Linked DNA regions of Saccharomyces cerevisiae S288C. The protein of the gene in region 3 interacts with the protein of the main gene of each other region in a biochemical or structural test. Each region holds a gene or a part of one and is shown on either strand. Other genes may lie near its edges.

Region 1 (3,765 bases), on a different chromosome or scaffold from region 3:
GTTTTGATTTGGTTCCCAGAAACAAAGGGTATGAGCATAGAAGATATTGATAAATTCTTCGAATTTGAGAGTAAAGAGGGCACCAATTTACATGGGGAAAAGGGTATCAAAACGCCGGACTCAAATTCTAATGGCGGTTCTACAAGATCCTCCCAAGAAGGGCAATTGCATAAACCTATAAAACTGAAAAGCGATGAAGAGATGATCATATGATACACGGTCCAATGGATAAACATTTTTTATCAACACTATGATATATAAATATAATAGTTTTTCGTATATATATTCCTTTTTTTGGTCAATTTTTGAAATTTTCGTAGAAAAGGGAGAGACAAAACACATTATATCAATGAAAACGTACAAAAAGTAGATAAAGTCAGTGCTTAAACACGTCTTTTCCTTAAAAATACTTTATTATTTTTATTTTATTGAGAGGGTGGTTTAAAAATAGAAATAGAGAGAGAGGTACATACATAAACATACGCGCACAAAAGCAGAGATTAGAAACACTTGTGGTGAACGATAGATGGACCACTTTCGTCGTATTCTTGTTTTGAGATCCACATTTGTTGGAAGGTAGTCAAAGAAGCCAAGATAGAACCACCAATCCAGACGGAGTACTTTCTTTCTGGAGGAGCAATGATCTTGACCTTCATGGAAGATGGAGCCAAAGCGGTGATTTCCTTTTGCATTCTTTCGGCAATACCTGGGAACATGGTGGTACCACCGGACATAACGATGTTACCGTATAATTCCTTACGGACATCGACATCACACTTCATGATGGAGTTGTAAGTAGTTTGGTCAATACCGGCAGATTCCAAACCCAAAACAGAAGGATGGAACAAAGCTTCTGGGGCTCTGAATCTTTCGTTACCAATAGTGATGACTTGACCATCTGGAAGTTCGTAGGATTTTTCAATTGAAGAAGATTGAGCAGCGGTTTGCATTTCTTGTTCGAAGTCCAAGGCGACGTAACATAGTTTTTCCTTGATGTCACGGACAATTTCTCTTTCAGCAGTGGTGGAGAAAGAGTAACCACGTTCACTCAAGATCTTCATCAAGTAGTCAGTCAAATCTCTACCGGCCAAATCGATTCTCAAAATGGCGTGAGGTAGAGAGAAACCAGCGTAAATTGGAACGACGTGAGTAACACCATCACCGGAATCCAAAACAATACCAGTAGTTCTACCGGAAGAGTACAAGGACAAAACGGCTTGGATGGAAACGTAGAAGGCTGGAACGTTGAAAGTTTCAAACATAATTTGAGTCATCTTTTCTCTGTTTGATTTAGGGTTCATTGGAGCTTCAGTCAAAAGAACAGGGTGTTCTTCTGGGGCAACTCTCAATTCGTTGTAGAAGGTATGATGCCAGATCTTTTCCATATCGTCCCAGTTGGTGACAATACCGTGTTCAATTGGGTAACGTAAAGTCAAGATACCTCTCTTGGATTGAGCTTCATCACCAACGTAGGAGTCTTTTTGACCCATACCGACCATGATACCTTGGTGTCTTGGTCTACCGACGATAGATGGGAAGACAGCACGAGGAGCGTCGTCACCGGCAAAACCGGCTTTACACATACCAGAACCGTTATCAATAACCAAAGCAGCAACCTCTAAACATATAATATAGCAACAAAAAGAATGAAGCAATCGATGTTAGTACATGAGACTTAGTAACAGTAGCAAATAAAAGAAGAATATCACTATCACTTATCACGAAAATATTTCAGTTTTTTTTTTTTTTCCAAATTTCAAGCCCCTATTTATTCCAATAATATCGTGGTTATTACAGATCAGTCAATATAGGAGGTTATGGGAGAGTGAAAAATAGTAAAAAAAGGTAAAAGAGAAATCTCTCGAGCAATTGGGACCGTGCAATTCTTCTTACAGTTAAATGGGATGGTGCAAGCGCTAGAACATACCAGAATCCATTGTTAATTCAGTAAATTTTCGATCTTGGGAAGAAAAAAGCAGTAAGCGTGAAAAATCTAAAAGCTGATGTAGTAGAAGATCCTATTCTTTAACAAAGATTGACCTTTTCTTTTTCTTCTTGGTTTGAGTAGAAAGGGGAAGGAAGAATACAAGAGAGAGGAAAAAAAGGAAGATAAAAAGAGAGCGTGATATAAATGAATATATATTAAACAAGAGAGATTGGGAAGGAAAGGATCAAACAAACCCAAAAATATTTCAAAAAGGAGAGAGAGAGGCGAGTTTGGTTTCAAAACGGTTTATTTATTTATGCAAGAGGACGTGGAAGAAAAAGAAGAAGGAAGAAAAAAATTTGAAAGAAAAAAACGCGTGGCGGGTAAAGAAGAAAATGGAAAATAGAGGCCGGGTGACAGAGAAATATTGAGGGTTAATTGGAAAATATGTTAGGGTGAGGCATATGTTTTTAAGGGTTTTGAGGATCCGATAAGGAAGAATGTAGGTTAAATGTTGTGCATTAATTGCTGTGGCAGCTTACCCGCTTCCCCACACATTTTGGTAGTATCTGTCCTCTTGTTATTGTTACTGTAATTGTGTATATATGTTCTCGCGTGTGTCTTATTTACTTATTTAGTTATTATATTATATGGGTCTGCAAGGTAGAGGCGCGCTTGTTCAACAGCAGCCCCCACCGGTGTTGGTTAAACTCTGTCCCTTCAGGTTGACGTTCCCTTTGTCTTCCTTCTTCTGAGTGGTTTCGTTCAGGTTTTGTTGGGACATACTTTCCTTGATTTGTCTAGCCATGGTTAAAAACGCATCCTCGACGTTGGTGGAGTCCAAAGCACTAGTCTCTAAGAACGGCATCTTATTCGCGTCCGCAAATTCCTTTGCCACGTCATATTCCACGACACGCTTGTCCTTTAAATCACACTTGTTACCTACCAATAGCTTCAACACTGTTGAGGTTGCATACCGATCAATCTCTTGCAGCCACATCTTCACGCCGTTGAAGGATTCTTGGTCAGTGACATCATACACGATAATGATCCCATGCGAACCACGGTAGTAAGATGAAGTGATAGTACGGAAACGTTCTTGACCTGCAGTGTCCCAAATCTGTAGCTTTACAGTCTTGCCGTCCAGTTCTACAGTCTTAATCTTGAAGTCCACTCCAATTGTGGAGATGTAGTCGTTGGTATATGTGTCGTCCGAAAACCTCAAAAGTAAACAGGACTTCCCGACACCGGAATTCCCGATCAACAGCAGTTTGAACAGGTAATCGTACTCGCTATTCATATTAGTGCTTTTCTTGTTTTATTTATTTCAACCTGGGCCTAACAGTAAAGATATCCTCCTCAAAACTGGTGCACTTAATCGCTGAATTTGTTCTGGCTTCTCTTCTTTTTCTTTATTCCCCCCATGGGCCAAAAAAAATAGTACTATCAGGAATTTGGCGCCGGGTCACGATATACGTGTACAGTGACCTAGGCGACGCCACAAGGAAAAAGGAAAAAAACAGAAAAAACAACAAAAACTAAAACAAACACGAAAACTTTAATAGATCTAAGTGAAGTAGTGGTGAGGCAATTGGAGTGACATAGCAGCTACTACAACTACAAAAGCAAAATCTCCACAAAGTAATATAATGAGAGAAATCATTCATATCTCGACAGGTCAGTGTGGTAACCAAATTGGTGCTGCATTCTGGGAAACTATCTGTGGTGAGCACGGTTTGGATTTCAATGGGACATATCACGGCCATGACGATATCCAGAAGGAGAGACTGAACGTGTACTTCAACGAGGCATCTTCTGGGAAGTGGGTTCCAAGATCT
Region 2 (3,333 bases), on a different chromosome or scaffold from region 3:
GTCTAATTTGACACCTTGGAAAACCTCGGAGTATTTTCCTCGCCCAACTTTATTTTCAATTTCATAGTCCTTTGTATTTGTGGACCAATCAATTACAGTATTTTCATAATCCCAATATTCCTCGGTTCTTTGTTTATTGATATTCGTATAAACACGAGCCTCTGACCATACCCTGCATTTCATAGTTCGAATCAAATATTCCTTCTACAACCCCCTATTTTTGTCTGTATATTTGACTTCTTAAGTCCCTATTCAGAAAACTCCTAGTAGGTAATTGCAATACACCGAGTATCAACAGTATATGAAGTCCCTTAATCCGTTTTACTACAGGACTGCGAGGTTCGTCTAATTGCTACTGAAATTTTCCAAGCGTTGGTCATATTTTTGATTTTTCGCTTTTTCTTCAGTGTTCGTTCCGAGTGATTTTTGATAGCGCTTTTCTACCACTTAGTGCTGCTGTATGTATTTATATGATATACCAGCGATACATGTAAATATTTCTATAAAGACTGTAAACCTCTGATTACCTCTGCCTGTGCGTCTTTATTCGCTTCCTCAGCAGAGGAAGCAATGGCTGCGTTCTTTGTTTGGTGGAAGATATCTCTTGTCTTTTCGAAATAAACAGTTTCCAATAGATTTCTCATCTGAGACTCAATGTCCTCAATTAAGGAACCCAAATTAGCGACATGTGATGTGAAAATAACATCTAATGGACGGGACATATCAATAGCGATGTCCTTTTCGGTCTGTCTTGTCAGGTTCCCGGATAACATCATATGAGAATTCTGGTCAGTTTTTGTTTTGTCCAAGTGCAGAATGATTGTAGTGGTGACTCTATAGTTGAAACTGTCGGGAGAAGAAGGAGATGTTGTAACTTCAAAAACATGGATACTGTCCCAATTACTGTGATCTGATTGGTTTTTTTTGAAAAGCACTACCCCTGCAAAATCGTGCCCATTGAAATCTTCTTCATTGAGGTCCCAGAGGTACACGCTGGAGATACCGCCTTCATAATAGAGATCTCTGTAAACGTCGAAAGAGTCATTGGCTAAGATCTCCAATTTTCTTAAAGGGGCTGAGGGAAAGGGGCTGTCTTGTAGATCCTTTGGGGATAGTTCTGGGTAATAAGTGTTCGACCAAGGCGATCTGAACGAATCAATATCACGATTATAGTCGCAGCATAAGTACTCCCGGTTTGAATCGGCGGAATCTTTCTGTGTGGATAGGGGAACGTCTACTGAAGATAGTAAATCTTGTGCCAAATTTGGTTGTAATTCGATCAAGTTGTTTAGATTCTCCTGTAACGTGGTAGGATTTAGCCTCCTAAGAAGATCTAAAGCAGCATCGAATTGAGCATCAGACATTACGGTGGTGATTGTAGAGTTGGAGAGAGTTTTTGTATGTCACTTGATTGAACAGTTCTCCTTTATTTGTTACAAATGCTCTCATTTTTACGTTTTCCGTGGTGAAAAAAAAAAAAAAAAATGAACATATATACATGTAGTAACAGCAGTAGTAGATGAAGAATTTAGAGTTTAAACAGGTAACATAACGCTATAAGGGAAAGGAAAGTGGAGATGTTATACATTATATTTACGTAGACGTTGAAGGAAGAAGAAAGAAAAAGGGAACAGAAGAAGAAGAAAAAGAGAAAGGAAATTCATGTGGATTTAAGATCGCTTCCCCTTTTTACTTAATGTCTTGTAGGATCATTGAGCTTTAATACGTCTACTGCAGGACCCAGTAAACGTTGAAAACCACTTTTCCCCAATGTGGCAACTTTGGTTCTCTTTGTAGCAGTCACAGTGGCCTGTCTGGGCAAATCGTTTAGCAAGGCCACTTCACCGAAATAATCATGGTCTTTCAGTTTATTTATGACACCTTGGCCCTTCTTAGAGACGTCCACAGCTCCGTACTCAATTAAATAAAAGTTCTCCCCTTGATCACCCTCGCGAATGATTGTTTCACCCGGCTGGTAGATCTTGGTATCCAGTGCATCGGCAAGTTTGGCACGGTCGTACGTAGTCAAACTCTTCAAAACTGGCATGCTCTTCAAAAGATCGTCATACATGAGTCTCTTCTTGAAAGAGCTGCCCAAAAGTATTTTTCTGAAGGTGAGCCTGTCTAGAGCCCACAACAAACAGTCGGAGGTTGCTACAACGGTGGCAGCACGAGGGCTGTTGTACATAAGAGCAAGTTCCCCGAAACTGGAGCCTGGCCCGGAAGAGTTGACCTTGTTGTCGTTGACGTAGAAGTCAACAGTACCCTTTTCGACGACATAGAAGTAGTCCCCTTGGTCACCTTGCTTGATTATCGTAGCACCTTTGGGGACGGACTTCTCCTCCAGACAATTTATGACCAGCCTTTTTGAGTCGGAATCCAGCTTGTTGAACAGAAAGTTATTACGGATCGATTTTTCCAGTCTTTGCAATTGCTGCTCGGACTTTTCCTTATAGTGATCTGGAGTCCAATCGTCAAAATTGTTTGGTTGTAAGGTCTCACCACTAACAGAAGTACGCCTTTGGGCGTTGAAGTGCATTGGGAGTGGAGGAGTTGATGTCTTTTCTCTAGTATGCTGTTGTTCTTCCTGTGCTTGCTGGTGAGTGTCCTGTTCGTGCGGGTCTAAATTAAACCCACTTTTAAACACGTTGGAGTGTGGGTCCTCGTTCACAAAGGGGGATTTGAACATAACACTCGATCTGGATCTTGATTGAGATTGAGCTGATTGAGGTCTGGAAAATGACTCCTCTGGTTCCGGAAATAGAACAATGTTCTTTGCCTTAAATTCAGGCTCCCTGGCCTTGAGGAACGCTCTCTGTTGTTCCAGCCTTTTATTGAAATAGTTGGCGGAGAACTGAAGAAAGTCGGACGGATTAGCGGCGTTGATTTCGTTCTGGAACAGTTGCAATTCGGCTTGCGATTCCTTGGGCAAAGAAGATACCATCGTTTATTCTTACTGTTGTCTTTTGAAAATAATCTGCTTGTTGTAAATGATCTTCCTATTTATGTATGCGTGAAATGCGTGTAATGGATGTGATGATAGCGATCGCTTGACTTAGTCGAGGAAAGCGTAAAGTGTCCCTTTTTCTCTTTCCCTTTTCCCTGTTTGTTCAAATTTTCTCTTTTCTACCTTCCTCTTCGTTTTGCTCCTTGCCAGCAAAACGAGGAAGGACAAGAATTTTGGAGAGCGGCGGCGCGGCGCCATAATAAATGCACTTGAGCAAATGCAATAAGTTCAGCTTATGGCTTCTGCAACAAAGAAGAGGTCGGAATCCGAGCACAGTATAATCAATATATTATCAGGCAGAACAAAAGTGGCGGGTATAACACGAA
Region 3 (3,874 bases):
GAACGGGGTGACGCACTGCAAATTTTTCATGTTTTACATACTCAAGCATTACAGACTCGATGAGCAGAGATAAGAGACAGGAAATCCATTGAATATAGAAGCATAGATAAGCGATAATGGTTGCTAAGAAGAGAAACACGCTTAGAAGCAAAGTAAGTGCAAGAAATAGTCAAAATTTTGGACCAGACGTAGCGAACAATGGCATTCTGGACGAGAGTTATGACATAGAATCTGATCCAAGGGCCTTTCTGCACCAACCTAAAGAAACTAAAAAGGAAAAGCTACTTAACAGACAGAATACTTTCTTATCTAACTTGAAGGGGAAATCCACACTTAACGATGGCATAGCTGCCAATTTTGATGGTATTTCTAAATCTTCCATTAGACGTAGGAAAAGAAAGCTAAGAGAAGAACTAAAACCAAGAATGCAAGATCTGCTCACTTCTTTGGAGCAAGAAAAGGATTTACGGGGCATTATTGAAAATAGTAGCAAAGACATGAATAACGATGATGACATCGACATGGATTCTAAAATAAGGTTTGTGGACACAAAGGAAATGAACTTGAAAAAGATAGAACCTGGTTCTGTTAGGATAAAAAAGAATCAGCCAAATATCAGGAACCAAAAGGGTGCAAAGGCATTGGCTGCTAACGAAACTGCAAGATTCAATCAGGTCCTAACCAATCAAGATTTCCAAAAAAATCCATTTGGCGCCTTAAGAGAGGTTATCAAGCTGCAAAAACAATGAACATTAAATAGCATAGCATAACAATTTTTGCCAGTGTAATATATATTCCAGCAAACCTAGAAAAACATTCAGTTTCATATTTAGAAGAATAAAAACGTATGTATTGTTGGTCACACATATATAGATGCCATTTCTATCTCTATGTTCTTCTTTTCCTCAATGGGCCCTTTGGTTTGTTGAATTTCAAATTGCTTTTGTTTGGGAGATCTGGATTGGATCCATGATCGAGGCTATCTTCTTTATTTGTTGCCATAAGTAAGGACTTGTCTAGTTCCACAAAATCGCCAATTTCTACCACTTTACTAAATGCGATTTTTTGATCATTTTTCAAGTAGTTGATAAATCCATTCTTGTTAGAAGCATATATCATTCTATCTTTGACTTTGCTGCCAGAGGGACAAGAGTAGATAAAGAAACTTGAATCACCCTGCCTGAAAATCGTGTAACTTGGCCCGGGCAAGTCAATGTACAGTTCATCTACGGAGGGACATGTATCAGATTGCACGATCTGGATGGTTTCGTTCGAGGGATCGATTTGAAATATGATTAAATTTTTACCCTCGCTATCCAGTATTTCATTGATAGGTTTCTCAGAATTGACCCTGAAAGTTAACGATAAAGGCGAAGCACTGTCCTGAGAAACCAACTTGACGGATGTGTTTTTCCTTAAAAGTGCCTGTTGCTTATTGATTTCGATTTGCATTTCTTCATCATGTGTCAAGGGCTTATTCTGGCCAGCAGGACGGGCACTATCAAAATTTTTCAAATCCACCAAGTCCTGTGCATCTGTGATCAATGGCTGTTCGGTGGATAAAGAGTTTGAACCTACCTGTCTTGCCAGAGTGTTCTTCGTCGAGGCATAAAGCATTCTTGATCTTACCGGAGAACCATCGGGGATGAATGACACAAAGAAGTACTTATCAAGCCCTTCCGGCTTATAGAAGATGTACAACGGTTCTCTTTCTTGTGATGCCAACTGTACCAGCTCCTCGAAGCTACGTGCGACTTGCGTTTGATGTACCGAGGTAGAATCAGGGGAAATTTTGGCTATAATGATGACGATGCCATCTGCTGAAAGATTTTCATTCAGAGAATGCAGCAAGGCTTGTTCTGCGACTATACCGGATTGAGTAGACATGTGATGTGTTGAGATACAGAGTTCCTTCTTATTCAATTGCCTATCAAATTAGCCAACTTGTCCAAATAGTAAAAGATATAGATCTTATAATGACATATTTTTCAAATCCTACAAAAACAAGTTACCCTAACACTGTATAAAAAGAATCTATTTATTGTACTGTTAATAGTACTGTTATTACAACATGAATTCACCGATACCAAAACCAGCTGATAACGTCTGGCAAACACCACTCTTTCTTCTTATGGCCCTCTTCAACAGCTTATCTCTTTTAGACAAGGGTTTCCACTTTTTAGAAATTGCAGAGGATGAGCGCAGGGAATTCTTCAAAAACTTCCTTTTTTTCAAGGTGAACTTGCCCTCATTGTCTCTGTAGCACAATAACTTGATATTGTAGTCCAAATTATCAAGAAGGGAGGAAGATGGTGATGAAGATGGGGAGGGTTCCATGGCTTCAGCACTGTTGATATCATCTTTGATGAAGTCCTCTATTCCCAATGTGTCGTTCGAACTCGTGGTGGCGTCGCCTGGATGCAGAGCCACGAGGGAGCATTTTCTTTGTCTTGTCTCCTGCAGGCAAATGGCCTCTTCTGCAGTGCCATTTACTTCCTTCCAGAAGTCCGTATTATTTGCGTCACTCTTGCTATTGTCGCCGAAAAAGAATGATTGCTGTATCTGTGGTAGAAAGATACTGCTCTCGCTGCTATCGTGGAAATTATTCTTGTTGTGATTTTCCTCCATGGGTAGTTCATTGTCCGCACTGTAACTAAATGTGCTGTTGGTGAAGGAAGGCTGGTGGCATGGGGAGAAGAGAGGATCAGGCTCAGAACTATAGCCGAGCGTACTTTCGAGGTCGTCATCATCGTCATCATCGTGTAAATCTCCGTTTTGGGTGCCATCGTCCTCGGTGGCGTTCTCAGATAGTGAACCGGCAGTATCTATCGAACGAGCAGTGGTGATGATGATTGGGGTGGCCTCGACTGCACTGGCTGTGGTGTTTTTACCATCTGCTGTCCCGCGAGTGTCCGCTTTCTTTGTGTGCGATCTGGACAAGGGAGTAATATCCTCCTTGGTGATGACCTTATTCGGTACCTGAAATGCCTTGCTGCTTTTATTCATTGCTACGTAAACTATGCTATATGATACAAGTGAACGCTCGTCGAGGGAATAACTGCTGCGTGTGCGTGAACGAGTAAATGAATGAATGAATGAGTTAACACATGAAAACGAAGATAATCGCAAAACGACAATGAACAAATAAACACATCCCTCATTTGCGGCACTGCTCATCTCATCTCATCCTTTATATTAGGAGGCAACGAGCTTTCTCGCTCACCAAAAAGAAACGTGCGAAAAAAACCGAAAAATAAAAAAAAAAAAAAAAAAAAAAAAGAAACGCGCTGCAGGAACGTGACTTCCAAAAAAGGAAGGTGCCGTTCCAATATGGAAACCGCAGGCACTCATGATTGTGCAGGACGGGTAACACATGATTTGTTTCGTTTCTTCGATCATTTTGCAGAACTGGTCAGAAAAGAAAGTGAAAAAATCTAGTTTAACACTATTGTAGAGGCTATAAATTGTAGACAACATTTACTGCAGAAAACTGTACGCACATATATAACAGATACTACGGTTATTATGGACACACTGTTCAACTCCACGGAAAAGAATGCCAGAGGCATACCGCAGGCTCCATTCATCGAAAATGTCAACGAAATAATTAAGGACCCAAGCGACTTCGAATTGTGCTTCAATAAGTTCCAAGAACGGCTTTCTAAGTACAAATTTATGCAGGAATCTAAATTGGCTACGATAAAGCAGCTGAAGACTAGAATCCCGGACTTGGAAAACACATTAAAAATATGCCAAAGTCTGCGCAATCACAGCGACGAGGGCGATGAGAGCGATGAACCTATCCTGTTGCACTACCAATTGAACGACACGCTCTACACAAAGGCTCAGGTTGATATACCGGAAGATCGGGCGG

The links.
Region 1: the proteins of TWF1 (region 3) and ACT1 form a complex in vitro, tested with the Saccharomyces cerevisiae proteins (4 studies listed by BioGRID).
Region 2: the proteins of TWF1 (region 3) and CAP2 form a complex in vitro, tested with the Saccharomyces cerevisiae proteins (2 studies listed by BioGRID).

Annotation. Positions count from the first base shown.
Region 1 is NC_001138.5:52,760-56,524, forward strand, and holds ACT1 (actin), read right to left. Parts: upstream 1,938-3,765; coding exon 1,928-1,937; intron 1,619-1,927; coding exon 501-1,618; downstream 1-500. Other genes in the region: YFL040W (uncharacterized protein), read left to right, coding at 1-213; Rab family GTPase YPT1, read right to left, coding at 2,607-3,227; TUB2 (beta-tubulin), read left to right, coding at 3,577-3,765. UniProt on the Saccharomyces cerevisiae protein: Actins are highly conserved proteins that are involved in various types of cell motility and are ubiquitously expressed in all eukaryotic cells.
Region 2 is NC_001141.2:288,726-292,058, forward strand, and holds CAP2 (F-actin-capping protein subunit beta), read right to left. Parts: upstream 1,365-3,333; coding exon 501-1,364; downstream 1-500. Other genes in the region: casein kinase 2 catalytic subunit CKA1, read right to left, coding at 1-183; cAMP-dependent protein kinase regulatory subunit BCY1, read right to left, coding at 1,694-2,944. UniProt on the Saccharomyces cerevisiae protein: F-actin-capping proteins bind in a Ca(2+)-independent manner to the fast growing ends of actin filaments (barbed end) thereby blocking the exchange of subunits at these ends.
Region 3 is NC_001139.9:640,023-643,896, reverse strand, and holds TWF1 (twinfilin TWF1), read right to left. Parts: upstream 1,888-3,874; coding exon 889-1,887; downstream 1-888. Other genes in the region: SLX9 (Slx9p), read left to right, coding at 117-749; YGR079W (uncharacterized protein), read right to left, coding at 2,065-3,177; tubulin-binding prefolding complex subunit PAC10, read left to right, coding at 3,526-3,874. UniProt on the Saccharomyces cerevisiae protein: Actin-binding protein involved in motile and morphological processes. Inhibits actin polymerization, likely by sequestering G-actin.